6 linked regions of the Oryzias latipes genome follow. The protein of the gene in region 5 purifies or fractionates together with the protein of the main gene of each other region. This does not show direct contact. Links are inferred from orthologs where the notes say so. Each region holds a gene or a part of one and is shown on either strand. Other genes may lie near its edges.

What was found.
Region 1: the proteins of ccnb1 (region 5) and pkmyt1 purify together in Homo sapiens (affinity purification with mass spectrometry; 5 studies listed by BioGRID and IntAct, with this or other methods). This does not show direct contact. The link is inferred for Oryzias latipes from reciprocal best matches to the Homo sapiens genes CCNB1 and PKMYT1.
Region 2: the proteins of ccnb1 (region 5) and espl1 purify together in Homo sapiens (affinity purification with western blotting; 5 studies listed by BioGRID and IntAct, with this or other methods). This does not show direct contact. The link is inferred for Oryzias latipes from reciprocal best matches to the Homo sapiens genes CCNB1 and ESPL1.
Region 3: the proteins of ccnb1 (region 5) and cdc27 purify together in Homo sapiens (affinity purification with western blotting; 6 studies listed by BioGRID, with this or other methods). This does not show direct contact. The link is inferred for Oryzias latipes from reciprocal best matches to the Homo sapiens genes CCNB1 and CDC27.
Region 4: the proteins of ccnb1 (region 5) and cdkn1b purify together in Homo sapiens (affinity purification with mass spectrometry; 5 studies listed by BioGRID and IntAct, with this or other methods). This does not show direct contact. The link is inferred for Oryzias latipes from reciprocal best matches to the Homo sapiens genes CCNB1 and CDKN1B.
Region 6: the proteins of ccnb1 (region 5) and cyclin-dependent kinase inhibitor 1-like purify together in Homo sapiens (affinity purification with western blotting; 8 studies listed by BioGRID and IntAct, with this or other methods). This does not show direct contact. The link is inferred for Oryzias latipes from reciprocal best matches to the Homo sapiens genes CCNB1 and CDKN1A.

Annotation. Positions count from the first base shown.
Region 1 is NC_019877.2:7,447,594-7,451,602, forward strand, and holds the end of pkmyt1 (membrane-associated tyrosine- and threonine-specific cdc2-inhibitory kinase), read right to left. Parts: coding exon 4,007-4,009; intron 3,810-4,006; coding exon 3,637-3,809; intron 2,319-3,636; coding exon 2,101-2,318; intron 2,021-2,100; coding exon 1,705-2,020; 3' UTR 1,410-1,704; downstream 1-1,409. Other genes in the region: zinc finger protein 16-like, read right to left, coding at 1-69, 464-483. UniProt on the Homo sapiens protein: Acts as a negative regulator of entry into mitosis (G2 to M transition) by phosphorylation of the CDK1 kinase specifically when CDK1 is complexed to cyclins. Mediates phosphorylation of CDK1 predominantly on 'Thr-14'. Also involved in Golgi fragmentation.
Region 2 is NC_019863.2:4,429,244-4,434,067, reverse strand, and holds part of espl1 (separin), read right to left. Parts: coding exon 4,800-4,824; intron 4,720-4,799; coding exon 4,618-4,719; intron 4,523-4,617; coding exon 4,411-4,522; intron 4,333-4,410; coding exon 4,205-4,332; intron 1,310-4,204; coding exon 1,116-1,309; intron 1,016-1,115; coding exon 773-1,015; intron 593-772; coding exon 448-592; intron 1-447. UniProt on the Homo sapiens protein: Caspase-like protease, which plays a central role in the chromosome segregation by cleaving the SCC1/RAD21 subunit of the cohesin complex at the onset of anaphase. During most of the cell cycle, it is inactivated by different mechanisms.
Region 3 is NC_019866.2:78,040-82,863, forward strand, and holds part of cdc27 (cell division cycle protein 27 homolog), read left to right. Parts: intron 1-3,370; coding exon of another isoform or gene 3,371-3,398; coding exon 3,399-3,661; intron 3,662-4,824. UniProt on the Homo sapiens protein: Component of the anaphase promoting complex/cyclosome (APC/C), a cell cycle-regulated E3 ubiquitin ligase that controls progression through mitosis and the G1 phase of the cell cycle.
Region 4 is NC_019864.2:11,435,816-11,441,321, forward strand, and holds cdkn1b (cyclin-dependent kinase inhibitor 1B), read left to right. Parts: upstream 1-1,801; 5' UTR 1,802-2,122; coding exon 2,123-2,549; intron 2,550-2,751; coding exon 2,752-2,867; 3' UTR 2,868-2,880; intron 2,881-3,670; 3' UTR 3,671-5,150; downstream 5,151-5,506. Other genes in the region: yars2 (tyrosine--tRNA ligase, mitochondrial), read left to right, coding at 485-644. UniProt on the Homo sapiens protein: Important regulator of cell cycle progression. Inhibits the kinase activity of CDK2 bound to cyclin A, but has little inhibitory activity on CDK2 bound to SPDYA. Involved in G1 arrest. Potent inhibitor of cyclin E- and cyclin A-CDK2 complexes.
Region 5 is NC_019870.2:25,678,704-25,684,092, reverse strand, and holds the start of ccnb1 (G2/mitotic-specific cyclin-B1), read right to left. Parts: upstream 3,362-5,389; 5' UTR 3,274-3,361; coding exon 3,253-3,273; intron 3,014-3,252; coding exon 2,882-3,013; intron 2,394-2,881; coding exon 2,277-2,393; intron 1,796-2,276; coding exon 1,601-1,795; intron 1,528-1,600; coding exon 1,369-1,527; intron 1,232-1,368; coding exon 995-1,231; coding exon of another isoform or gene 935-994; exon of another isoform or gene 911-934; coding exon 770-910; intron 692-769; coding exon 581-691; intron 510-580; coding exon 408-509; 3' UTR 1-407. UniProt on the Homo sapiens protein: Essential for the control of the cell cycle at the G2/M (mitosis) transition.
Region 6 is NC_019863.2:2,307,454-2,311,701, forward strand, and holds cyclin-dependent kinase inhibitor 1-like, read right to left. Parts: upstream 2,806-4,248; 5' UTR 2,802-2,805; coding exon of another isoform or gene 2,793-2,801; coding exon 2,378-2,792; intron 1,926-2,377; coding exon 1,870-1,925; 3' UTR 1,825-1,869; downstream 1-1,824. UniProt on the Homo sapiens protein: Plays an important role in controlling cell cycle progression and DNA damage-induced G2 arrest. Involved in p53/TP53 mediated inhibition of cellular proliferation in response to DNA damage.

The sequences.
Region 1 (4,009 bases), on a different chromosome or scaffold from region 5:
AGGACCTCCTGCACAGCTTGAGTCAGTAGTTTGGCCAAACGGTCGTTCAAACGCTCAATTTTAGACATCCTAAAAAATTTTAATAAAAAGTTAAGACACTGCAATAACTAAATTTAGGTGTCATACAAATGGCACTATCATTAAAATTATTTTAAAAATGTTATATAATTGTTTACTTAATGGGGAATCAGTGATCTGTTCTAAACCACATTTAAGATAAGAGATTTTGCCAAAATGTCAGCTTCCTTTTCTTAAAATTCTAAAACAGAAGATCAGAAATTATATACAAAGGTTGAATTGTTTATTTCTTGGAAACAATTTTTTTTTAATAACAAGCAGTAATTTCAATATACTTAACTATTTATTGCAGTTTTCCAAAATCAATAAAAATAAAATGCATTTTATAACCTATGCATTTTTGCCCCGAATACCCTCAGACGTTTTAAATTGCAGTATTACCTACCTGCAAGCTGCTAACTCCATTCCCCACCTCACTTTAAATGGTCAGCAGATGTTAGCCACATTAGCCTTCCGAACCATAATGTCTTTGGTTAAAAACCTCGAGAGTCAAAAAATCGCGGCTGTACAATTACTGTGCTGATAAAGTTGGCAACGTTTAGCCCGTGAAGAGATTAAATCGACTTAAAAACTGCGAATGAACGTCCCAGTCTTTACTAACAAAACACCCCAAAACCTTGAACGCAACAAAACAGCTGGCAACTCCCGGAAATACAAGGTTGATGTCAACAGTGGTCTTCAAAATAAAAGCCTATGTTCTGTTATTGTGTTACTCGTTAAGATGGGGGTTTCATTGCTTTGCTATCACAACTAAAGCAAATTTTAGTCATTTTTTTATTCACTTGTATCTTTAAATGTGCGTGTTCATAACATGTCTGGCACAAGTTGCGAACATTTTTTATTGTTAAAGAAATGTTAAAAAAATAGAAACTTTTAATTTGATGAGTTCTTTCACTAATATTACCAATCACACGCAAGTAAATTCGTTGCATGCAAAAATCACTGGAGTTAGTGCTTTACAGTTATGTCTGAAATTTGAGGACCCCCCCCCCCCCGAAACTTCCCTAACATCGTCTTAGACGTCAGGTGACTTTTTTTCTTTTTTTAAATCACAAAGTATGCTCTGTTGAGTATCTGTACAGGAACAGAGTATACATTCAAATATGTGTTTATGTTATTTATCAATACATAACCCAAACAACGTGCACTTTATTACTGCCATCTAGCGGTCAAGATTGGAAATACACTTTTTTGTCTTCTGACTTTAGAGTGTTATTTCTTATTGAAAAAGGGGTAACAAATAAAGCAATTAACTTGTAAGAACTAAGAAACAAACTACAGGAAGCTTTGTATTCAGGTGAGCTAGAAGCACAAAATGGCCCACAATGTGATTTCACCTCCAAATTCATGCTTTTATTGTCTCAGGGTTAATGATGCTGCAAAACATTCCAGAACAAATCATGCCATGCTCTTTTAACATCAAACAGCAACTGCTTAAGGCGTGTTTGTATGGTCAAACAGAATCCACTCTTTTTTTTTTAAATACATATTAATACAAGCAGTGGCAGGACTATTACAAAAAAAGCACTAAACTATATACAAAGCAGATAACTTGACATCATCTGAGAATTTCAACAGAAAAATACTTCTTACATTAGTGTAAAATGGCAGTTTTTACTTATGGCTTCACTCAGCTGTGATTTCCTCAAACAGAGAAAGCAAGTTCTTTGGCTCCAAGCTGGATCGGGGTGAGGTGTCTCCTGCAAGGATCCAGTTTCTACCACAGAGCCTTGTGGACTTGGTGGATGAAGGACTTCCACGGCGCTCTCCGTGAAGCTGGCTCTTGTTGGCTGAATGAGTGCTGGATGGGGTCAGGCCCAAATGGCAGGACCAGTCCCCAATAGCTGAGTGAGTGGGTGTGCTGACGTGACTCCCGTGTTTATGTACTGGTGACCCCGAGAGGGGCGTGGACGTGCTTTCCAGAGAGAGTCTGGATGTAACCCTGAGGAGAAGTGCATAAAGAGGGAGTTAAAGGAGGGAGAAACAAACAAGAACACCTGCAGGCAATGTAAAGAGATCTACCTGCGTGAAAAGGCAGGGGAGAGTTCTGGGTCTGTGTCTGCAAAAACCACAGAATCATCCTGTGGACTGCAGGGGTCGGAGTGAACAGTGGTGAGGGAAAGTGTTAGATCTCCCTCCCAACTGTCCCTAGGAGGAGTACAGGGCCTGGGCGCGGTCCAGCGGGGGAGGAAGGGCAAGTTAAAAGGTGAAAGGAGTCTGCACCCGAAGTACACCACCGACTATCACAAAGGGGAGAAAACAAAAGACAATCTGGTCATTCTGTTTTTAACACAGTACAGTACAGCCTAAAAAGTGAACCCGAGTGTCGGTGTCCGTATCGCTTCAGGAAAACTCCGGTGACCAATACAGCCACTTTGTCGGTGTGTCACAGAGAAGCCAAACAAGGAAGCGCATCTACCAGCACGGTTGCCAGATTCTGCAGTTTCCGCCCAATCGGGTAATTTAAATTTTGATATTGTTTAGAACTGCGACAGACTGGCGACCTGTCCAGGACGTCCCCGGGATACGCTCCGCCAGCCCCGTGACCATGAAAGGGAACAAACCTTTTAGAAGATCAATGAATGAATAATGCATAGAAAATTTGCTTTGGGCAGGTTTCATGTCAATTTAGCGGGTTTTAGTTTTTTTTTAGTTTTATTACACATCTAAGCCATCTTTTATTTTGAAAAATATTTTAATTTGAAAAATTACTGGATCCTCTCTGTTACATTTCTGTCACTTGGGTTTTAAATCAGTCCAGTGGCCAGTTTAACAGAGTAGGAAAAAACAACAACTTTCATGTAGCAGATGCGCGCCCACCGGTGTATGACGTTTTATTTTAATGAATCTTTCCTAAAGGTGATAAATGTGGTGTTTTAATTAGGTTTGTTGAATTATTTCATAGTTTTAATTGTGTTTTTGGCTTTTTGTCTCCCCCGTCCCTCTCAGTTTCCGCCTGATTGTTATTTAAAGTCAATCATTTTATGTTTTGAAGGTTAAATGTCACATTTGTTCAGCAGAACTATCAAACTTAAAAGCAGCTCCTCAATGCTGGGGAACTATAGAGCGAGACATGGAAATGAGGAAGCCACAACTACAATGACAAATATTGTGTTACTGTTTACACTAGTTTAATCAGTATATGACACAAATTTCCCACATGTGGGATCAATAAAGTACTTCTGATTCTGAGTGGATTTTCATAACTTGGTTGCCTGCCATGTTGTTTTCAGTCCAGCAGGGGTCAGTATTGAGTAACACAGTATCAATTCAGTTTGAGCAATGTGCTGAATGCTTCACAAGGCCTTATCTACCCATCACTACAACTTACAGGTGAATTTGAAACAAAGAACTGCTGTTCTGCAGAAACTATGTCCTAGAAAACAACACATCTTTTTTTACTTTAGCTAATAACAACATAATCATAATTAACAGACCACTGGGAACACTTTTAAAATAGATCAAAAGATGATTGGAGTGGGTCTTTAAACACAATTTTTCTGCTTTATACTTATTTAAATGGTGTAAAGAAATACTGAAAAACTATGTAGCGCTTACTTGACAAAGGGAGGCCAGTGTCAGCATAGCCTCAGCAAACATGAGACAACAGCGCCTCTTCCATCTATGTTTCCTAACAGAGGGAAGGGAAAGAAGTTCAGAGGCGCTGGGTCTCTGGGTCGGCTTTGGAGCCAGCATCATCCGGAGGACTGACTGAAGCTCAGCAGACAAGCCTGCAAACATGTTTAGAAACACAGTTTTCAAGAGTCAAATCATTTCTGTAAAGGCTCGACTATGTTTTACAGTAAAATAAAAAAAAAAGGGAAATGTTTTGCATTTGTGGGGAAACTTTAAAATGGTAAAAGCAGAAGTCTGTTATTAATTTAAGCTTAGTAAACATTTTTAATGGTTATAAGAAAGTCATCCTCACCGT
Region 2 (4,824 bases), on a different chromosome or scaffold from region 5:
TAGAGTGTAATTTAAGTTATGTCGACTCTTATTTAAATTAAAATGCTGCAGTGAAATAAAAATATTTTTGGTTGTTTTGCTATTTTTCCATGTATCACAAGTTATTTTGTCATCGCAATATTGATCACTAATATCGCATCGTGCCATAAGCAGAGGCTTACTACTGTGCCTGAAGTCCCGCCCACAACTCAGAGGTGCATTTCTAATGAACTTCTGCTTCTCTGCAGAAACTATGTCCTAGGAAACGCCGCAAGTTATTGGATTTTGGCTAAAAACGTATTTCAAAACCACTGGGAACACTTTGAAAATAGATCAAAAAAAATAATCAGAGCGGGACTTTAAAATCTCAATTAGTCACCAAAAGATATTTAACAAAATTTGCTCAATGATTGCTTAGGAGAAATACAAAGAGAATGATGAAAATTCAGATGATCAAAGGCGGATCACCTCTTGAAGATGTTTCTCCAAACTGCAGATAAAAAGCCAAAGTTCAGCGTGGGCTTTGTCATCCTTCAGTCTGTCAGAGTTCTCCGGAGTCTCGACCTCGTCTCCAAGCAGACGCAGAGCTTCACGCGTGAAATCAACTGCAGCACTGTGTGGACACAAAGGAAACCATTGAGATTTCCATCATTTTAGTGCCCAGCAAACATGGCCAGAGAGGATCAGTTTCATTCCCATGGTGTGAACATAGGGGCACAAGGCATAAAATGAAAAAGACATTCTACCAAGTATTGATTAGTAAATTATGGAAAATACATAGAAACGCTCTTACCAGTCGGTGTGTTCTCCAAAGTCCTGGAAGCACACAACCTGAGCCATTTCACAGAGGTAGAGAGCACGGCGATGGCTGTGAGAACTTTCCTCATTACAGATGTCCAGGAGATCACAGAGAGTGTTGTAACGCTCTTGGGCTGTGTCTCTTGGCAACTCCTTGTACGTACGCAACTCTTCCTCCAAAAGGCAAAGCATGATTTGCTCATCAGGAACATCAGCACCAAAGCCGTCACGCAACGTTCTGAACCATCGCGATACAGGAGAACAAGGGAGGGAAGACAGGAGGGGCTTTACTTCAACTAGAAAAAAAAACATTTCTTCATCATAGGACTTGTTGCTACCTGAGTCTTATGTCTTCATCAGAATTATTGACTGCATCAGTCTTGGTTTTCACCCAAAGAGACACAGGCTCGGACATGTGAGTGGTGATGTTGTCTCCAAGAGCTTTCAGCCACAGAATCACCCACTGCAGGGCTCGGTCCAGCTGCCCGGCCCGGCGAGACGTTTGCACAGCCAGCATGAAGGGTCGATTCAACTGGGCGGCAACAATTCAACAGCATTATTCACAAGCAGTAAAGCCAGATCTAAAACTAGGGACGTAAAGGATGCAGAAACGTCTCAAAAATTCATCTATTACTGGGAGTAACAGCGGTAACAACCATAGATACAAACAAGATTACGTTGGTAAAGAGGTATAAAATCAACCCAGAACTAAATAATCGATTTCTTTTCCTGTTGTGTTTCTGTCACTGTCTTTTTCTAAACGTGATGTAAACCAAAAGACATCCAATCACACGCTTGCTTCTACTAAGTCAGGTCAATTCCAATTGGCTGAAGGTGAACCACAGTTTTGTGTTCACTAAAAATATGATAAACAATTTTTCACAGCACTTCAAATAGCTAAATAAATTAATAGGACAAACTTTTTATTTAACCACAGAGAACCGAACACTCTAAAATACACAAAATACAGGTTTTTATGTCATGTTTTTAAGTTGTTCTGTCCTTTGTTTGTTTTTTTGGTTTTATTGCTCAAAATAAAAAGGGCCTGCAAAAAAAAAGAAGAAAAAAAATAACAAAATGTCTCTTTTAAAAAGGCATTTTCATTCATAGGTTTAATGCCAAAAGAACAATAAATATCTGGATAAGGAGTCGGCAACCTGCAGCTGAGTGGATAAAGGCCTCATGATGCAGAACCTCGCCGGGTCGTCCTGTTGTATTTTGTGAGCAGGTCGGAACCAGGAGCGGTTCGGAACCAGGAGCGGGTCGGAACCAGGTGAGCTGCTCGTCTCTGGAGCGGTTAAATATTAGGATTAAAAAAATCTAAACTATCATCCCGCATCACCGCCACGACTCCCGCCGGCGTGAGATCCAAACAATGTTCCGACCCAGGTAGGATAAGGATGGAGAATTTCGAGAAAATGGAAATTCCTGAGGAAAACAGTCTACCGTAATTTCCGGACTATAAGCCGCTGCTTTTTTCCTGCGCTTACAGCCCTGCGGCTTATTCAGTGACGCGGCTAATTTATGGATTTAATTGACGGCCGCCATGTTCGCACTTACAGACTCGGTGGATGGTTTGAATTCTCTGTCTAACACCAAGCACGAGTTATTAGTTTTGTAACACACCTCTAAGCAGCCAAACAGCATGGACCTGAGTTCAGGTCTAAGACACTTCAGTCATGGTTCAACAAAACGAAACACGCATGCCCTGCCGCATCCCAGAATCCTTTGGTGCCATTAGACCCAACGTGCACGTGATCGCCGCTACAATATGATGAAGCTTTCAAGTTAAAAGCAGCGTGAAAAAAATCAACCATCACCAACGGGTTTGGAAAAGCCGGTCAGCTGCGTGAAGGAGAGAACAGCGCATGCTCAGAAGTGTATTTACCTCTGAGTCATAGTGACTCGGCTGGCTGCACGTAAATATGTGTGAATAACATCAGCCTTTATTTTGTCGGGACACAACTGGAAACACAAATCCACGTGATCGTTTCACGGTTTCTAAGGACTGAGCGGCATTTTGCATTAAAAAGCTCACAGCCGCCGTGTGAGATTTTCGGATAGGAAGGGGAGACAAGGAGCCCGCTTGGCGAGCGCGGAGCGCAGAGGCGTGTTTGTTTGTTTTGGACGGAAACTTCTGACGCGCGCGCCGCGCTGAGGCGCGCGCGTCAGAAGTTCGCCGCTGCTTTATTTTAGTGGTGTGTGTTTTTAACCAGCCCTGTTATTCCCATAACGCTGCCGCGACACAAGTGGAAGGAGAGCTGTTCCCGTTCACCCCTCCATGCACTGCTGATACTTGCTCATTCTTAAACACGTACAACAGTGTGGCAAGCCGGGCGTTGGCCCCGCCTTTAGCCCCTAAGACTCATGGGAAATGGGGGATCGCGGATGTAAGTTTCCTCATCATAACTGAGGGATGTAATGTTGATTACATGGTTACTGTTTGTAATTTTATGTATGATACCTAGATTGTCAATAAGTAAAAGAAACAAAAAAAAAAAAAAAAAAAACATAACTGAGAAACTTGTGAACAGAGTAGAGGTCCATGCTGTTAGGCAGATGTGGGTGTACTTAAATACATGAGCCTCAGGCAAGGCTGGCCCAGCCACAGTATGTTACTGAGTCACACTTATCCTAGGAATCAGGATGTGATTTGTCAGGATGATCATGCTGCCCAATACATGCGGCTTGTACTCTGATGCGGCTTGTGTATGTACAAAACTAGTTAAACACTTTAAAATGGGTGGGTGCTGCTTGTAATCGGGTGCGCTGTATAGTCCGGAATTTACGGTATTTAATGGCAACTGGGTAGATTTGTTTGCCTTCAACAACTTTACCAGTATGATTGATATATAATAAAGAATTGGCAAACAACAAAATATCAAATGTGGAGAGACATCCCAGAATAAACACACAGTTTATGCCCAAAAACATCCTGATCCCAATGAGAAAATAAGTCTGTTTGTTGACAAAAATCTATGGGAGAAGCAGATTAACTGCTGGTTAATGACCACAAATTTGTTAGATCTGATGACTCTCTGGAAAAGTTTCTCATCTGAACCCATGAAATGACAGAGGATACAAATAAAAATGAACATCACTTCACAAACTCTAAAAACAAGTGAAATGCTGCCGTTCACTGGAAACACCGGGTTTTCCAAAGGCTGTTGTGGCTCCCTGTGTTTGATTTTCTGTGGGAAACTGATCCAAATGGCTCTTTGAGTGGTGAAGGCTGCCGACCCCTGATGTAGATTGTATTCATTTAGGTAAAAGAATTGGACTGCATCCTATTGCCACAAAGTTAGTTGATATTCGTGGACCACGTATGGAGATCAGAAATTATATCAGAAATTTACAAATTCAAATAACAGCACGTTTCTGCAAAATGGTTTAGCCAACATTGAGGAGTAATGTTTTTGACACTCACCCTATCAACAGACAATGAAACGGCGTGCTTCTGGCAGAGATCTTTGCAGAGGATCTCCACTATGGTGAAGGCTTGATCGTACAGGTGACGGTTGTACAAACCACATACCATGTTGCTCACAGCAACCACTGCAACACAAAAGGTCCTACCAATGAAACACAACACCCCTGAAAGGCAGAACCTCCAAACAGACGATATTAAAAAACCTGCTTTGGTGAATAGATTTTCATTGGCCAACTTCTGAAGTTCCTTCATCAGCAGTCCAGTTGTAGACTGGCAGTAGAGCAGCACTCTCTGCAGGAGGTCCGGCTCCTCCAGCTGGGAAAAGGTTTTTAGAGTAAAGACGTGTTTACAACCAAACGCTAGCATCATGAGGGGTGAATTAGTCTTTCGCCATCAAGTATTGTTCTCACCTGCGATGCCAGCATGCTCTCATAAGCAAATACAAAGCTCTGGTAAATGCTGAAGCACAGGGTCTGCTGCAGTCTCCTGCTGTCCAAATGCTTCGACAAAGTCTGGAGAAAAAAAAAAAAAAACTACTAAAGAGATCTTATTTAACAGCTGGGAAAAGCTTTTCTTTACAAAAAATACAAACCTTGTCTAACATTTTTAGTATATAC
Region 3 (4,824 bases), on a different chromosome or scaffold from region 5:
CAGCATCCTGTGCCAAAGCAGAACGACCGTATCCTGTGCCAAAGCAGAACGACAGCAACCTGTGCCAAAGCAGAACGACAGTAACCTGTGCCAAAGCAGAACGACAGTAACCTGTGCCAAAGCAGAACGACAGTAACCTGTGCCAAAGCAGAACGACAGCATCCTGTGCCAAAGCAGAACGACCGTATCCTGTGCCAAAGCAGAACGACCGTATCCTGTGCCAAAGCAGAACGACAGTAACCTGTGCCAAAGCAGAATGACAGCATCCTGTGCCAAAGCAGAACGACCGTATCCTGTGCCAAAGCAGAACGACAGCAACCTGTGCCAAAGCAGAACGACAGTAACCTGTGCCAAAGCAGAACGACAGTAACCTGTGCCAAAGCAGAACGACAGTAACCTGTGCCAAAGCAGAACGACAGCATCCTGTGCCAAAGCAGAACGACCGTATCCTGTGCCAAAGCAGAACGACAGCAACCTGTGCCAAAGCAGAACGACCGTATCCTGTGCCAAAGCAGAACGACAGTAACCTGTGCCAAAGCAGAATGACAGCAACCTGTGCCAAAGCAGAACGACAGTAACCTGTGCCAAAGCAGAACGACAGTAACCTGTGCCAAAGCAGAACGACCGTATCCTGTGCCAAAGCAGAACGACAGTAACCTGTGCCAAAGCAGAATGACAGCAACCTGTGCCAAAGCAGAACGACAGCAACCTGTGCCGACTGTTTTTTTCTTAGCTGCACTCAGATTTAGAACCCAGTCGCGTTGATTCTCAGTTTAAAGTTTAACCCGTTCTCTTTATTTTTTTATGCACCGCTACTTAAAGGAGAAACCATAAAAGCATTTTTACTTTTTGTTACTAGTTGCAGTAGAACTGGTCTCAAATCTACTATTATCATTCACTGATTCTGAAACACTTCAATTTAGTTTAATTGTGTCTGTTGGCCACTTCACCTTAATCCTGTTCCTTAAATGTTGTTATTGCTTCTTCTTAAATTTAACATCTAAAATAATCCAGACGTTATTAGAAAAGTGTTTCAATTAGAAAGATGACTTGGACCAAACTCTGGGATGTTTGGCTGTTAAGAAACACAAACCTTGAAGGAGAACTAAACTGTTGACCTTTGATTTCATCAAGAAGATTTAAAAACTGTTGAATGTGTGTTCGTTGTGATTTCAAGACGTTTAACAGGGAAGACTCATTGTAGCGCAAAGTAGGGCTGGGAATCACAGGGTACCTCAAGATACGATACGATTTGCGATACATTGCTCACGATAACGATACTATCACGATATGGCGAAAATCTCGTCTCTAATTACGCTCGATATATAAACTTTAAGAAAAAGAATTTGAAAGGGTTATTTTGGAAAATATTTCCCCATTTATTTTTTAAAAACCATGATAATAAACAACGTGTCGTGTGTCCTATTTGGTGTAATGAATAACAGACTTTTGTGTAGCATTGCTGAAATCAGTAACACTCTGTCTTTGACAACCAATGATAATTTTCTTTTGGAAATATTTGTACAATTTGGTTTAAACAATAGTGAACATGAACAGCAGCCATTATTTAGTACAAAATTGCTGTAAACACGATAGAAAATGAATAAGTCCAGTAGATGCCAGGCACATTGGTATTAACTTTTGAAAAACAAACCCATAGCCATCATATTATTTAAAAAATAGCTGTGAATCAGATACTAATTCTGTGAACAAACTATAGTGTTTTTGTTAAAAATAAATGACACCATTTAGTGCAAATGTGGTGTAAACAAAAATATAATTCTCCCAGAAAAAAAAAAAATCAAGTAGCTAGAAACTTTCCTTTAAGTTATTTAAGACATAAACTGTTTTCTAAATAAATGACCAGGGATAAAATACGTGAAGAACTTAAAGTGCATCCAAAAGGAAACATCTTTGTGAACAACACGATTGGGGAAAAGCTGCATGTGATGTTCTGGAGAACCACAGGCTTTTTAGTGTCAAGACGCTGCTCATCTACCGCTGCTTTGAGGAGAAGGGCGGTCTAAGGGCAGGGATGCCTCTCTTTCTTCCGTTTCCATGTCAACCATAGCTCTGGTCTGGGCGTACAGCGCAGGGATCCTTTTTTCAGTATTTCCTAGAGGGAATGTCAAAGCGTTACTCCAATGCATTCAATAAAAGCCCAAATCCCTCGTTCTCCACCTCGCTGCAGGAAGGACGGACACCGTTTTCCATTTGTATTGCCAGTTCTCTGTCTTGCAGAAAACGGCGGTAGCTTCGTCTGGAAAAAGGTATCCGCGCCGGGCCGTGTCGGCTTCAGGCCAGCAACAGCCACGACTTTCTCACACAATTCCGTTGATGCAGCTTCAATGGTGCCGGCGCGTCTTTAAGTTGCTGCTCTAGCTTCTCATTGTTTTTCCGCTCCACCATCTTTGTTTGAATGTGTATTCTTTGTCCACCTGCAACAGCTAATCTTGCAAAGAGCGCCCCCTATCGACCCTCCGAAGAATCGTCTTAGCAAAGGATGATTAATATAACGTCTTACAGGGTCTTTAAACGTAAATAAAAGGTTGATACTTGATGAAGACGTCTCGAGAATCAATCGCGGGACTAAATATCGCGATATATCACCATATCGATATTTTGGCACACCCCTAGCGCAGAGATGCTGTCACTTTAACCCAATGCATCATGGGAGATGTAATGATGGCAGACAGACTCTTCTCTGAGCTTCATTTTATGTTCACTTGTTCCACGGTCTGATACCAGATTCTGTGGAAAGCTACACCACTAAAGACGAGCTTTAGCTGGTATTGTTGTTGGAACTGAGAGACTTTATAAGCAGAATCAGAACAAGGAAGTGAAGACTTTAACCACTTCTCATTGGTCAGACTGATGACGAATGATTAAGCCTCCAAGAATGATTGGCGGAGACAGTTAAAGGGGGCGGGACTTTTCCAAAAACAGAGCTGAATCTGCAGCTAAATCGCGGTACCGTCATTCTTATGAATGTGTCTTAAATAGAATCAAATAAACACGCAGAAAAAAGTATTTTATGATCTTTTATATTCCTAACTATTCAGGGTTTAATCAGGGCCTGTTTGGATGAACACAGAGCCTATATCCTGGAGATGGTAAATGTTTTTAGATCAGTTAATGAGGGTCATTTCCCACGGCACACTAGTGTGCCGCAGCACACTGGTTGAAAAATACTGGTTTAGACCACGATATGGACTTAATGTGTGTTAATGAATCACAGAGATTTGCAGGGATTTTTTATACCTCCAACAGGTGTGTGCATTTCTAAATATCTGTTGGATCGGGTGGTGTGTGGTTGGGTAACTACAGACAAGTGTGTTCTGCTTCTTAGACCTGCTATTTTTTTCTTCAGGCCGCGGTGTGGCAGGCACTGAACCACTATGCCTACCTGGATGCAGTTTTTCTTGCCGAGAGACTCTATGCTGAAGGTAACATGTCCCGCTGGCAAGCCAAGATTCCTCCTACTTGCTCACCTGTCTATCTCCCCCCTGGCAGTGAGGTCAGAAGAGGCTCTCTACCTGCTGGCTACCTGCTACCACCGCTCAGGAAAGCCCTACAAGGCGTACCGGCTGCTAAAAGCTCACAGCTGCTCCACGCCACAGGTTCGATTCCTGCTGGCAAAGTGCTGTGTGGAGCTGAGCAAGTAAGAACTGAGTCCCACTGTACAACATGGTGCCTATGTTGGCCAATAAATACATTTCAGTTTCACTTTAACTTTCAGTCTCTGTACTGTTGGTCTGCCTTGTTTCTCTGTATCTGAGTGACTGTGTCTTTCTGTCTTTCTCTGCCCATTTGTTTGTCTGTCTTTCTGTCTGTACGCCAGTCTGTCTTTCTGTCTGTACGACAGTCTGTCTTTCTGTCTGTACGACAGTCAGTCTTTCTGTCTGTACGCCATTCTGTCTTTCTGTCTGTACGCCATTCTGTCTTTCTGTCTGTACGCCATTCTGTCTTTCTGTCTGTACGCCATTCTGTCTTTCTGTCTGTACCCCAGTCTGTCTTTCTGTCTGTACGCCATTCTGTCTTTCTGTCTGTACGCCATTCTGTCTTTCTGTCTGTACGCCATTCTGTCTTTCTGTCTGTACGCCATTCTGTCTTTCTGTCTGTACGCCATTCTGTCTTTCTGTCTGTACGCCATTCTGTCTTTCTGTCTGTACGCCAGTCTGTCTTTCTGTCTGTACGCCAGTCTGTCTTTCTGTCTGTACCCCAGTCTGTCTTTCTGTCTGTACCCCAGTCTGTCTTTCTGTCTGTACGCCAGTCAGTCTTTCTGTCTGTACGCCATTTAGGGTTGTGCCGATGGACGATATCATCGTCCATCGTGATGGGTGACTAACATCCCGATGGAGAGACCACCATCGTGATGCCACGCCCCCGCCACGTTGCGCGTCGACACCATAAGCCGCGGTTACATGTACAAAATATCTTGATGGGATCAATGGTCGGATTAGAATCCAACCGTGTAGATGGGCCCAGAAAAATGTTTTCAGAATATAAAAACGTTCACTAAGGTCACAATTTCGGTCGGAATAAATCATTCGCACATGCGCAGTATTCGCACATGCGCAGTTTGAAAACCGGAAGGGGATACAACTTCCGCCGAGCGGCTTTTTTTCCAAACTTTATTGGATGTAACAATTCAATACAAAACGATAACAGCACCGAGCGGCTATATATATTGACATGTCAGCTCGGTAAAATACGAGATGATCTTCTAAACGTGCTTTTAATAATGTTACGGTTATTATCAAACACCTGTTCGCTCATCATTTGAATTTTAATCCGTGTGGTCAGTGCTTTTTCTGAACGGAG
Region 4 (5,506 bases), on a different chromosome or scaffold from region 5:
CACACGTAACATAAAAAAATAGCTTTAAAATTCAGCAGTGTCCCTCTTTTATTGGCTTTATAGCTCTTGAGTCAATTGCCTGTAATGTGTTGTAGCCCAACTACTGGATTCCCACTCGATCAAAGCATTAAATCTGTTACCAAATGGGGACAAAAACAATCACATTGGTTTGGTGCACATATGTATATTCATGTTTATGCTAAACTTGTTCTGTGGACTTTTCCATTTGCTTTACCATGAAAGTCTCAAAAAGTTGCTTTTTATTATTATTTTTTTCTTTACATACAAACACCAGCGTTTGTGCAAAGATTTGTGTTCACACATTTCCACCAAACCTTTTTTTCCCCTAGATGTTGTCGGAGGAATCAAATCCACTAAATGTTGAAATACACAAAGATTTCTATCCTGCTGCTTTGGGTTTGGTTGAAAACACTTGAAATGAATGGGATTTGGATCCTGACTGAGCCGTCGTGTTCGCTTGCAGGTACCAGATGGTTTCAGACGGAGCCGTGTGGATCAACCACACACGGGCGGACAAACCGGAGCAGGTTCTCGTCCCCAAACTCCACGTCCTGTCCAACGGACTCACTCTGCTCAGAGTGGGCAAGAGGAACTACTACATCATCAAGTGGCTCGGTCTTTGAGGCTGCACCGCCCACCGCAGTGCCTGTACGCCGTAAAGGACTTACAGGCAAGGTAGGCGACTAAAGCAGACTGTAGCGGACTCATAATGGTGACTCTGTAAGTCCATGTGGCCTTTGTTAAAAATGTAATCGTACAGACAACTTTAGTATTTAAAGGTATTAAAAGATTTGTGCTTCCAGAGTTGTGTGTTAGATGAAGCTCTAGGGGGCGCTGTTGGCTTGACAGTGGTTGAGTGAACACTGCTGCACCTCCTATCCTGCTCTGACCCTTTGAGTAAATAATTGCTCACAGCTAAATTAGATTGCATCATTTCTGTCAAAAGGCTTTTGGTTCTATTTAAAGACGACTGCGCCACTTTCAATTTAAGCATCAAGCTGCCCTCTATTCTCATTTAGGGGTGTTTATTTTTTTTTGCATGTGAATAAAAAGTAAAAACTAAGAAGCTTTATGATAAATCTGGAAAAAAACAGTTGACTTTAGGATAGCAGAAATTTATTTTCATCTTTATATGTTATTACTTCATATATAAATATTTTCAGTCAATAATTCCGATATATGTACAGATTTTGTTACGGTAAGAAAATTTTTTAGAATTAAAATGTTTATTAGGCTTTTACTAAATCAGCTCAGTTTGGGGTCCTCTTACTGGACTTTATCTCCATTTAGGACCACAGGTTCATTTATTAGTGTCCATTGAAAGAATATGATGCAACAATTTCAGTTTTGTTTTGGATTTTACTCCATTTTAATTGTATTTATTAATTTTACTGTACATCCAAAATGTTTAAAATAAATACTGAATATGTGTGTTTTAGAACATATTGGCACTATTTGTATGGTTGCAATCCAATTTTTTTCTTCAAATTTAGATGTCTTAAAATGTTTAATCCATTTTACTTTTTGAAACTTGTACATTAAGTTACATCAAATGTGTGAACTTATTTACTTTGTAAAAAAAATAAAAAAGGTAAGTAATATGTTTAGAACAGCATGCCTTATGCAATTATTCGGTCTACCTTAAATAAAGTGGGCGGGTCTAAAGAGCTCCATCCAATGAGTGCGCTTCTTGGGTTTTAAATGGCTCCGTATGTCAATCATGTGTAACCCTCCTCCCCCTCCCTCCAAAGTCAACCTCCCCTCTCAATCCCCACTACATGTCTCAATCGCCATATTGGGTACCGAGAGGTTCGCCTCCGCTTCCCGCTGTACGGAGCGACGTTGACAGCGAGCTTTGGTTCGTTCTCCCGTCGTTTGGATGATTGGCGTAAGCCGTCTTCGGCTCAGGAAATCGCAGCCGTGTTTGCCTCCAGCTCGACGTGCGCATGGTCGTTTCACGCCTGTTTTGGATCTTTCCCCGTGACTAGGAGGACATACCTTTTTTTTCTTTTCTTTTTTCTTCTTGAGGTGTGTTTTTCGCCTGAAAACTGGACGCTCCCGGCTGCTTGAAATTTTTACCTTTTTTCCGGGGGGCTTAACCATGTCTAACGTTCGACTTTCGAGCGGGAGCCCGACTTTGGAGAGGACGGAGCCCCGGGTGTCGGAACACCCGAAGCCGTCAGCCTGCAGGAGCCTCTTCGGCTCGGTGGACCACGAAGAGTTAAAGAGGGATTTAAATGTACATTTGCGGGAGTTTGAAGAGGCTGCCTCCGCCAAGTGGGGCTTCGACTTCGCGACTGACACACCGCTGCCCAACAGCAGGCTGGAGTGGGAGCTGGTGAACGCCAGAGACCTGCCGAGTTTCTACACCCGCCTGCCGCGGCGAGAACGAGGCGTTTGCCCCGGGAATAACAATGTGGATCTAAACGGGAATCATGACTGTGTCGGGACAGTTCCCAGCCGCTCTGACGCTCAGATGGAGTGCACGGAGCAGTGCGGCGGGCTGAGGAAGAGACCTGCGTGTCACGGTATGACATTAGCATCAAACGACCCGTTGCTGTGTAACAGATCGCCGGGCGGCAGCTTTGTGCTCGCGGTACTGGTATGCGGGATGAGGGGGTCGTAAAGCGGGGGAAACTGCCGTAAAATCCCAGAGAACATTGAGCACCCCGACCATTTTTTTCTCTCTGTAATATATAGTTTATTTTACTCATTTATTTATTTTTGCAGACCCTTCGGCCCCAAGTAAGAAGTCTCACACCAGCCCGGAGGAGGTTAGCTGTCCGAGCCTGAGCCAGTCTGCAGAACACACACCCAGAAAGACCAGCCCCAAGAGACCAACGTGAGCACGGCGACACGGTGAGCGAACCACTTCAATTTAAAAAAAACTGTTAACCTCGAATTTAAAAAAAAAAAAAGATATTAAATTTTACATCATTTTTTTTTTTATTTGTATTGACGCATTCTAGCGCAAAAAAGTGAAGTCTGTTTATTAAACCAAGAGGATTTATATGACACGCCAATAAAGAATTTTTAAAAAAAAAAGTTTTTTCCTCCTTGCGGCCGATGTTCGTCTGCTGAACTGTAAACAACAAGCTGAACAACAGTGTAGTAGTAACACGTCAGCAGCCAGTGGCCTCCGCGCGGACGGGAAGGGGCAGGTCTCTGAGCGCGCGCGCGCAGAAACACACGCAGACATGTACACTCCCTGCTGCAGAGGAGAGTACGAGAGTTCTGCAGGTCTACTATGACCCACAAGAGAGAAGGAGCACAGAAACCTGCTCTAAGCTGTCAGGTGTGAACCTTTAAAGGTTGTGGCAAAAAAAGTCAAGGTTAAATTAGCGGAACTTTGACTTCGATTTATCTTTAAGTAAAAAAAAATCCCATGTTCATTTTCGTCTCTTCTTAGTAAAAATAAAAGTTAACAGAACTGAAAAAATTGCACGTTTTTGTAAATGGTATGCAGCCGAGCTTTATTTGAGTTGATAGTTTTGTTTTGTTTTTGGAAATGACTAGTTTCTTCTTTTTTTTCAGTCATACCTCAGAACACTGTCAATACTTTAGCAGTAGTAGTTGCATCTCCTAAAAGAAAAAAAAGTACTAACCTTTCAACCTCTTTGTTTTTGTCTTTTGTTCTGATCTCCAACAGAGCTCAAGATGTGCCCCTCCCAGTTTTTTTTTCTCTGTACGAGTGTGTTTGCGTATGCGTGCATGTGTTTTTTTTTGTTTTTTTGTTTTTAAGACTGCGTTGATCTTTTTTTTTTTTTTTTAATTATTCTTTCCTTTTTTTGGACGAGGATCTACACAGCATCAGAAACATATCAGCTCTCCTGAGGACGGGGGAGGACGCTGTTGAAGCACTGAAGAGAAACACTAAAGTTTGTGGCACTCATTGAAATGTTACTGCCTCTAACAGCAGTCCATGTAGCAGCGTGCAATTAGGTTTGATTTTTTTCTTTTTTTAACTACCTGTGTGTAAATAATTTAATAAATAAATATATATGTTTTCTATGTAGCACATAAAAACATTGATTTTTTTTTTTTTTTAATCCTTTGTGTAAAAGAGGTGTGAATTTTGATTTGACTTGAAGTGTTCGGTTTGAAACATGTTTCCAAAATGCTGTTCTGTTTGCATTTTATTATTATTATTAATATTTTTGAAAGGCACTGTGGTGTTGACCCAGTCCATAAATGCTACATTTAAAAAAAAAGAAAGAAAATCATGGTTTTAGTTTCTCAACAGTGTGCCTTTATGCCGTCATCTTCCTAACTCAACAGCAAGGAATGGTACAAATGTAGCTCATCTGCCTAATGAACGTGTTTTTCTTTTCTTCCCTTTTTTGTGTTGAGGCCACTTTTTCTTTTTTCTTTTTTTTAAAGATCCACAGGAAATGGCACAGGATGAAATTAAAAATTTCAGCAAGTACCTTTTATTTTCCTTTTTTTTTTTTTAATATTTATTTTAAAATTGGAGTTCTGATGCTTTTATTTTGTAAATGTTTCGATCCCCAGAGTTGTGAGGCACTCATTTTTTTTTTGAAGGACAAAGACCATGCACATGTTTCCAGGCTGTCAAACCTAAGTTAAATGTTTCTCCTGTACCAAATACACACTCGCTTTTATTTGGTTTTCAGAGTTGACTTCACATCGTATGACTTTGTGATAACCTTGAATGCTTTTATTTGTTTTCCACCCTTGTTAACCTGCTAAAGATGGAGGTTCCGGCTTCCAAAAGCTTCTTTGTTTCCCCGCTAACATCTGGTTTATCTTCAAAGACAGCAGGCTCCACCTGGATGGAGACACAAAACGGCGCGTCTCACAAACGCAGTCATGTGATCGTGTAAACCTTTACAGTGTACATGCGTACATATTTTTGTAAAAAATAAAATAAAAAAGACACTGAGAAATTATACTAACTTATTTATGTCAAACTTTTTTTTTTTAAATGTAGAGTAATTCTTTTTTTAAGTTACGGTTATCCAAAGTGGCATTTACTTTATAAATTTCTGGGTAGTTTTTTTTTTTTTTTGTCAAAAAGGTTGCAAACTGAGCCTGATAAAATATTTGTTCATTTTGTAATGTGTGGTTATAAAATGTGTTGCAATCAATTAAAAGAGAATTGAATCTGACTTTTTTTTTTGTTCACATTTATGGAAATTTGTTACATTTAAGTACACGGATACCACATTTATTTTTCCTTAAATCTTTTGGAAAAATTCTCACAGATTCAGAGCTAAGAATGCAAAAGATCTGGAAGTAGGAAGTGAGTTTCTTTTTAGTCATTGACATTTTGGCCAACCAATCAGAACCAGCCAAAACTGATGGGGTAACTGCTGCAGACTCCTTCAGTTACCTTATTGGTTAAACATTTGTTCTTAGGAATCATGGTGTGTGTAAGACATCTGCTCTGTACCAGGTTAACATAATCATTTTAACAAACTAAAAGATTCTTTTTTGAATTATTTTTACATTTATTGAAGTGAAA
Region 5 (5,389 bases):
AAGGCCATTTAATATACATTTAAAAAAAAATAAAAATCAGAAACATCCCATACAACAAAAATTTAAAAGAATAACTGTACATATTACATAGTCACCTCAACACAGGTAGCATATTGTTGTAAATCCACATGTTTAGAAACATTTGCCTGCTGGGTCAGGAGTTCAGCCGGCTAGCTAACAAGTGATATAGAGATAAAAACAAGTTTGTGCATTTCTGTGGTCAGATGTAGCCGACTGAGCTCCAAGGAGTTGGATGCTTTTGGTGAAACTACTGTGATTGAGGGCTGTCTGTCACAACTTCAGGCACACTTTTAAAATAAAAACAAAACTGTAGTCGGTAAAAAGCCCAATCCCAAGAATCCCAGCAACAGTCCATCTGTACACGGCAGCACACTGTGCTGTCCTCACTAAGAAATCTGCGTTGCCAGATCTTTCACCACAGAGGATTTGAGCTGAGAGATGGTGGCGATCCTCATCTGCTTTGATGTAGAGTATTTTCCTTTGATGGCCTGTAGGGGGCATAACTGTTAGAGTTTGTGCAAGTTATGGCTTACAATAGGATTAAAAAATAAAAGATTACCATGTGTTTAGTTTGCCCATTGTTGACTTTCACGACATTCTTAGCGATGTGCGCCATAACAGGTGTCAGGGTCTCTGCTGTGTACTCCATGTAATGCTGCAGTGTCACATCCTGGGAAGGAAGACATTCATATCCAATGCTGTCCCAGGCAAGTCAGCGATGAGAGCAAACCCTTCAAGTGTCACTCACCCATTCCCCTGCATCCAGGACCTTGAGAGTCAGCGCCAGAGCTGCACTCGCCACCAATGAGGGCGGGAAATGAGCCATGTCGTAGTCAACCATGGAGAGCTCCAGCAGGTATTTGGCCAGGGTGTGTTGTTCAGCAGTTACCTGAAGAAAAATAAAATCCCACCTTCACCTCAGCACATGCAGTGGTGGAAGAGAACAGTTTGCCGCACCGACACCGCGCCACACCTCATAGATCTTGGAGGCCCTTCTGAGGAACTGCAGCGGGAGGGGGCGGCCCAGCTGAAACTTCAGCACTCGCAGAATAGTCATTTCCATGTCTCTGATCTGAGCAGTGGTGTAAGCCCTGTCCGTCACGTAGGCAAAGTCTGAGATCTCCGGAGGGTACATCTCCTCGTATTTGGAGGCCAGGAACATGGCGGTCACGCCAACCAGCTGCAGCTGCTTCTTGGGGACTGGATGGTCCTGTTGAAAGGACCGCAGACAAAATAAAAGAAAAATCTCAGCACACAAGTCAGTTAGAGGACATCTGTTATGAAATTATTTTTTTTTATTGAATTATGGAGCACATCTAGTCTGTAGAGGAACACTGACAGACTCACCTGAAGAAAGCGGTCGATTATTCCCACAGTCATGTACATGGTCTCCTGCAGCAGACGGAACTTGAGGCCCACTTGTACCAGCCAGTCAATGAGGATGGCTCGCATGTTTCCGGTGATCTCCTGACCCTCAAGGTAGTTTGGCTTTACGCTCTGCTCCATCTACAGGAGAACAAACGTCTCTTTAGGGAAACGGCACACATCAGGAATGCAGCTTTCCGGGTTTTAGTCCGACCTCAAGCTGACGGAGGTACTTGTAGATGTCCTTAACATATTCACTGCAGAGCATGGGGTTGTCGTAGTCATCTGCATCCACGTCCCTGATGGCCGTGTTGAGGATGACATCTGAAAATGCTTGACAGAGGTCAGCAGACTCACATCCAGAGGTCTCCATGGGGGTGGGGGATGCACGTTCAGCCTGGGCTGGCACCTGTGAGAAGGTCATGTCAAATCATTACACGTCACCCTAGTGGTAGAGCGTCTGCCCCAAGACTGGTAGGCAGAGGGTTCAAAACCAGTGGAGTCACAGCAAAGACTTCGGATGGAACCAAAGCCTCCCTGCTTGATTCAAGTGGACACATCAGAAGGGAGCTGGTGACCTGCCGGTGGGATTTTCTACCTCACAAATAAGCCCTTATCCAAACAAACAGCATTTTTTTTCTCAATTCACAACATTTGAATAAAGTAATCAGAAATGAAATTTCAATCTCATTTTCTTTAGATGAATCTTTTATAAGAAAGAGGCCACAATCAGAGTGGGTCTGTAAGGGGTTGGATTGGGAGTGGTTAACCCACCATATGGCTCCGAAGCACAACCATGCCTGGAGCTCACTGCTGCCCCCAGAGGATGGGTCAACCACGCAGGACAAATGTCCCAACCAGGTGTGTGACAACCAATGACACCAACTCACCTCAGTCACCTGCACTTCAGGTGCTGGTTTAACAGGGACCACAGCAGCTTTTGGTAGCTCGATCTTCTCAGCTTTAGCTGGGATCTTTGTCTTCTTAGCAACCTCCGTCTTGATAGTCTGAAGAAAGAAAGGTCAAACCCAAATACTGCTATGCATTTTACAGAGCTGGGATCTTTTCATTTGAGTTCTTTGCTTCTTGCACAGTTTGGGAAATCTCTACAGCTGCAGGCCAAAGCCACAAGTCCTAGCTGTACAGGTTTTGAAGCTCTGCGCATTGAGCTGATAGTACAGCAGTAACAAGAGTTTCTCTTAACAAATGTGCATTCAAACTCAAGTTGTTGTTTTTTTAGCAAAGATTTAAATTTACAATTGATGGTGTACATTCTTAGACATAGTTCCAGGTTAACTGTGCTCCTCCAACCTGGGATGCATTTTATACTTGACTAAGGGCCCCAGTTCAGCACAGTAGACATTTTCTCATCAGAACAGGCCCAACCCCTCACTTCTACACCAAACTTGCCCCAAAAAAAGGTTAATCACTTTACTTCGATAAGTGGAAAATACATTTATATAGGATTTTTAAAAAAAAAAAAAAAAGATTTTACCTTTTTCGTGACATCTTTGTTAATAACTGCGACGTTTCCGATTTCTCCGAGGGCCGCGCGGGGCTTCTGTGTAGGCCCGGCCACCGAGCACGTCTTTCCGCCCAGTTCGGCCCGGGTGGAGGCCAGTCGGTTCTGCAGCGAGAAAACGGACAAAACAAGGCGCGCTCGAGATAAACCTGCAGTGGTGAAGCAGCACGTTCAATAAATTCAAGCCAACAATATTTGACCTCTAGCTTCCGCTCACATACAGCCACATGACAGTCCAGTCAGAAAACACGTCAAAACATTTAAAACCAGAGAAAGACGCGCTTCCTGAAATCGTTCTTTTCCGGTAAAAACAGAGAGGAACGTGTAACGTGGTTCAGACTTACCCTGGTAACTCTCAGAGCCATGCCTTTGCCTGCTTCTCTTCCACAAACAACCACGAAATTGAAGCGGAGAAGGTGAAGATTCCAACGCACGAGTCGTGGTTTAAATCCTCGCTCGCTGCAAACCGATTGGCTGCGCTGGGCGGCTGCGGCGATTCTGATTGGATAAACGAGTACGTGTCAGATGCGCTCCCAAGACAACTTTGGGTCACGTGATCACGCTCTTCTTAGGTCACTTCCCTTACCCGGATATCTAACTCCGTTCTTCTAGAGCTATTAAAATAAAAACATTTGTAGATAAAAACATACACTACTTTATTGTTTGCATCTAAACAAGGAAAACACTTTTTTAACGCAAAACAAAAAGAAGAAGAATCAAGAGGATCTCAAAAACAATCCTTTACAAAAACAAACAGTACACTGAAGCTTATTTTTTAAGTATACTTGAGCATCATTTTACCAAGCATGCTGCTATAGGTTGGATGTATGTATAGTAGAAAGTACAAAATCTGTTAAGGGTTAACAAAATTTAGTATCCTTAAATGCACTTCAAGTAGGCTAAAAGTGAGGCAGTGGACTTGAAGTTTACTTTTTATATCTATATATTTTAAACTTAGACAGACTGGGCTGGCGACCTGTCCAGGGTGTCCCCTGCCTTTGCCCGTAACATGTGGAAAGGCTTCGGCAGCCCTGTGACCCCAAAAGGTACAAAACGGAAGAAGATAAATGTATATATAGTAAACTTAAAATGTTCCAATTTAGTCTATAGATGTATTCAGTTAGTATATTCCCTACACTACATGTGTATACCGGCTATACTTGTTATGCTCAGTTATACTTAATCAAATAAACTCAAAGTCTACCACTTATTGCTAATAGAATTGAATGTTGCCCTAAAAATGATTTTATTCTGACACTTAATGATTTTCTCAGTTTATTGTCATTTTTTATGTTAAAACATGTTTGAATCCCTCCGTGCAAAAGAATGCATATATATATATCTTTTTCTTTTTACAAAAAAGCTCATTAGTCCTGTATTCGCTACTAAAGTAGAACAGTGGTGTAGTGATTTGTTCTTTTGCCTCAGTAGGGCCTGGCTCACATCCCAGCCGGGTCTTTTCTGAGTCAAGTTTACAAGTTTACCCCAAGCATGTGTGGGTTTTATCCTGGCACTCAGGCATGTGCAAACATATTTAGGTTAATTGATGATTCACAATGTCTGTGACTGTGTGGCCCTGCAATGGACTGGTAACCCATCTGGAGTGTGTACAGCCTTCACCAAAGGATCCAGTGACCTCAAAGAGGATCAGCAGGTTTGAAATTGATTTTCTTTTTCTCCTTTTAATTTGAAAACACCTTCTAGTGCTGAAGCCTTTCACACAAAATGCATGCTGTCAACACATTTTTAAATGTTTTCATGCAGCTCAATCATTTTCTGCTGCAACGAAAAACTAATACAGCTCTGATCATTTTTAAGTTATCACCTCTGAACATGACCAAAAACAACACAGCGAACAGTCATGTGTTCTTAACTCCAAGCAGAGGAAAAGCGGGAACTCTGGCTGCATGTCTTTCTGTAAACCGTCAACAGAGATGTCAGTGCCTAAAAAACAATTCTATTATAAACAGAATTTTCCTGCCATAGTTTGAACTATGATGGTGGATTAAAAAAAAGTATACTTTTACTGAAACATGATTCAAAGTATTCTGGAAAATGGTGCAAAACTATGAATCTTCTTCTCTCCATCTCTGTGAGCTCTTCAAACCGTTCCTTCTGCTCCTCTCCAGGATCCTGAATGATCTTCTGCTAATCCAGTCTCATTTGGTGAGAATGCGTTTACAAAGATGAGGAGCCTGAGCGTTTTCTTTTTCCGCACACCCCATGGCGCTGGAGTTTCTACCCGTGTGTCCTGCTGTCAGCACCTGGACATGTTGACACCTGTGTCCCCCCTCCCAGAGCGTTGAGGGAGCCGCTCAGCCCACTCAATCCCAGGTAGACATGTTGGGATGTTGGCGGAACTGCAACGTAAGCTGGATACATTTAGGAAAATATCATGCCTTGATTAGAAACTTGAGTAAGAACCTTTCTATTCACCATTTTGCCGATCAAAAAAAAAGAAGAAGTTCAATGTCCGTATAA
Region 6 (4,248 bases), on a different chromosome or scaffold from region 5:
CTGGAGTCCCTTGATGAAATCTAAATAAATGTATATACGTTTGTTTGATGTGCTTTGTGATTTTCTATCTCTCACTGTTCAAATAAATCTACAGATGACAGATTGTCCTCTATTGTACCTGCAGAACATATTGGGAATTTCCTCCAGAACAGACATATAACACTAAAGCAGATTGCCATAAAATGCAAAGTAAAGCCAACAGAGAGAAGGCTGCAGTTGATCTGCTGGAGGGGGCGAGGACGGATCTCCATTCACTGTTTTTACGCCTCCTCTCTGCTCTTTGTCTCTTTCTTTTACTTGTTTAACTATAATCAGGATTGCAGCAAGAAGTATCACCAATGGTTTTCTTGGTGACTGTGGTCACAGCTGCTTTGAGATCATCAACCCACTCCTGCCGTGTTGTTTATTACCTCAACTCCCAGCACGAATAACCCAACAATTGTGTTGAAGAAAATAAAGGTGTGTGTAGAAAAACACAGATAAAACTCCTTCAGCGCTTCATCACCTCTTCCTCTCCTTGGATTGAGTTAGGATCCAGAAAAACCATCAGCCTTTTATTTCAGATTTATCACGGATCCACACAAACACGATGAATAACACAATAAATAAGAGTCGACTCCTGAGGAGCTGAAAAGTGATCGCATGACCAGAAGCATCAGCAGAAGTGCATTGGGGCAGGTTTGCTCTTTTCGAAGCCGTCAGTTCATACATGATTAAAGTGACCTTACATGACTCTCATCCAGATTAGGCGGAGCAGCAGGATTTGCTGGACAGATATGTCGTTTACAAGCGGAGAGCAGTAGTTCCATCCATGACACCTTTGCTCCTGATGGAAAAACCTTCCTCACGAATACATTTGGACCTGAAAATACTGTTCCTGATCGTCCTTTACGCACCTTAAAATACCTACAAGTACAACTTCTGTGCAATACTGCAATGTTTTTAGATTTATACTACTCAAATACATCTGATATATGCTGAATATATATCTATAACCCTTGTGCTATCTAGTAGGGTCCAGATGACCCCACTCCCAACGTTAACATGCCTTGGGAGCACGTTAACGTTGGGAGTGGGGTCATCTGGACCCTACTAGACATATTGGCTTGTACAGCTCACCGTCTTGTGGGGTCCAGGTGACCCCAGTTGGAAGTGGGGTCATCTGGACCCCACAAGACAGTGAGCTGAACCTTTTTTTTCAATGTTTACATGAAATCCTCTCCACCTTTATCTACATTTCTCATGGTAGGGATAACACGTCAATGTAAGGGTGGGGTCATTTTGACCCAACAACATAGCACAAGGGGTTAATGCTCCAAAGAGATAAATTGCTACACACTGAACATTCATAATCCAGAGCCATTCACACGTCAGGACAGAGCAGCAGATGAATTTGACGAATAAGAGACAGGACATGAAGGGAAATGCAGGTTTGTGGTTCGTGATGGAAGCAGAGCGTCTCTAGACTTGGAGACGTTGAATCTCTTTTTCCCAATAGTTCATATAAAACTCTTCACTTCAGCATAAAAAAAGGGGGGACATTGTGATTTTAACACATGCTGTACATCTTCCTCCTCTCCTGTGGGTGGGAGCCGAGATGTGGAATGTACAGCGGCGAAAATGTCTGTCATCACTTTGGCAACCGCTTGATCCAAATGAGGATAAATCCACTGATTCCGTGGATTACCGTTAATCTTCTCTGCTCAAATGTCCCCTTCTTAGCCCAGGGAAAGGCACCGATCCCCCCCCACATACAGTAGCCTAATTAACTGAGCAGTGAAATGTAGCTGAACCCCTCCCGAGTTCACAGGTACGGACTCCTGCGGAGGGCGTGGCTTCTGAGTGGGGCGTGGCGTGTGCGCTCCTCCGTCACTCGCCCGATTTCCGCGGCATCCAGACCATTCGTCGTTTAGCTTGGTAGAAATCTGCAGGGATGAAAGCGACACTGAGCTCAGGGGGAATCGGTGCAACGACACAGACGCAGCTGAACGTTCCACTCCCATCATATTTTGAGAAAAGCCTTCCCTGTCGTCTTTTGATTACGATTATGCCTTTTTTAGCCAAAATGAAATAATCTTGTCGTCACCTCTGAGATGTGGGCGGGGCATTAGCTCAGAGTAACCCCGCCCCTACCTCCCATTATCCATCTATTTGTACCCTCTCTAGCTGGCTTACAGCCCCTCACATTACTCTTCTAGCTCAGACGAGGGACTAAAAAAGTTTTTTGGACCTATTTGTCTGTAAATGAATGCAGATACTCTCTTTTTCTAACATTTTTTATCTGCTTTGAACAATTAAATACTAAGCTTTTCTTTATAAATGTCCTCCATCGTCAATAAAGCGTCATAAGAACACGATTCAAAACAAATGAAAGCACCTGTGATGTTTGTCTGTTTCCTCTTCATCCCGGCCTTCTCCTCCTTCTCTGGTGTTTTCTCCACGTTGAAGATGTTCTCTGTCAGTGGGATGTTCTCCTTCTCCCTCTGCGGCAGCTCAGATCTTCGTCTCTTGGGGGGGGTCCTGGTCTCCGCCGTCTTCTGGACCCGTCCAGCATCCTGACAGCGGTACAGCAGCGGCACTCCGGCCCCCGGGACGCTCTCCCACAGGAAGTGGCTGCCCTCCAGGGGCTTGTCGGAGCGGAAGTCGAAGCCCCAGCGAAGGGACGCTTCGTCCAGGTCTTTCCGCAGGGCGGCCTGGTACTCCAGCTGAAGCTGCTCCCGGTCCACCGGGCCAAACAGGTTTCGCCTCGCGGGCCTCCTGGGAGCGGCGGGAATCCGCTTTGGAGCAGCCATGGTTCTGCACTGTTTGAACACAGAACACTCCTGGTTAGATCTCAGATGTCATATGATGATGAGATGGATCATGTAAAGCAGTAAAAGAGTCAAAGAAAAACCCAAAGTGTAAAAAGTTCCGAGCTCACCATGACTGTTCACTCTACAGACCATCAGAGAAAAGCAGAGCTGTGCCTCTCCTCTCCTCCCTCCCTCTTAGGAGAGGCTGAATCATCGGTACATGCCTGGACATAATCTGACAGGCCGACAACACAGAGCCGCCACTAGGGGGCAGAGTGGCAATGACAGATCCACCACCAGAGGTGTCCTTCCACCTCAGTCTGCATGACAGACCGCATCACCCTGAACAGGACATTTTCCTTTTTAGGAAAAAAGGAAGTCCATCCCAGGCCAGGCTGGTTATCCAGGAGGACAAAATAGTCCACAGTAAAGCTTGTTGTTTTTTTTTTAAAGAGAGCAGAAAATGAGGATAGACAGCAAACAAACCCCCAGCAGCTTGTTAGATATGATTTTATTATAATACATAAATTAAAAATGGTTGTTCCTGTTTTTTTTTTGTTTTAAAAAACACTTTAGAAAACAATTTATACCAAAAATATGAATATTTTCCTTTATCTGGTTTAAAACTATTTCCAGTTCTTTAGTGATAATGTTTAAATTAATATTTAGGTTTCTCCACATTATAATCCCGCTGTTCTTAAAGCTCAGACTGATGGATATTGACATTAAATATCTTATTTTTGAATGTTTTGATTCTTCCATTGAGGCTGGAACGGTGATCTAGCAGAGTAACCCAGACTTTTCATGACGTCATAGACCGACATAAAGCTTCTGTTGTCTCTTCGGGGCGGGGTCACTGGGGGCGCGGCCGACTCCCATCGGGGCGGGCGTTCAGGCCATGGCGGGAGAGTATGAATCCGGGTTTGGACCAGCCCCGTTCGGTTACTACGAGGCTCCACGTGAACCTGGAGCACGTGTCCCCCATTCAAACGGGGCTGTCACCGCCGTACTCACGCGGAGGACGCGCGCGCGCATCAAAACACCCTAGATAGGACTTCTGGAAAACTTTTTTTTGATTTAATAAGTTACCAGGAAACTTTTTTAATTCATATAACCAGAATGTTGGATCAACGACGCTGAAGTTAGCATCCGATTCACAGCTTCCGATTCGCGAGTGCACTAAAGGAGCATTCCACTGTTTTTTTTGCACTAAGATCTCCTTAGATGGGGTCCGGTTCAAAAACTGCTGGACCTAGACTGCTCAAACCTGGATTAAATTATGATTTAGATACTGAAGAATACATTAAACACAGTTTCTGATTTGTGAAACCTTCCTCTGATTTGTGAAAATGTGAAATAGGTTGATTTTTATCGTATTTTACGCACTGAGTCCACCTTAGACCGGGTCCTGTTCAAAAACCACTGGACCTGGACTGCTCAAACCTGGATTAAATTA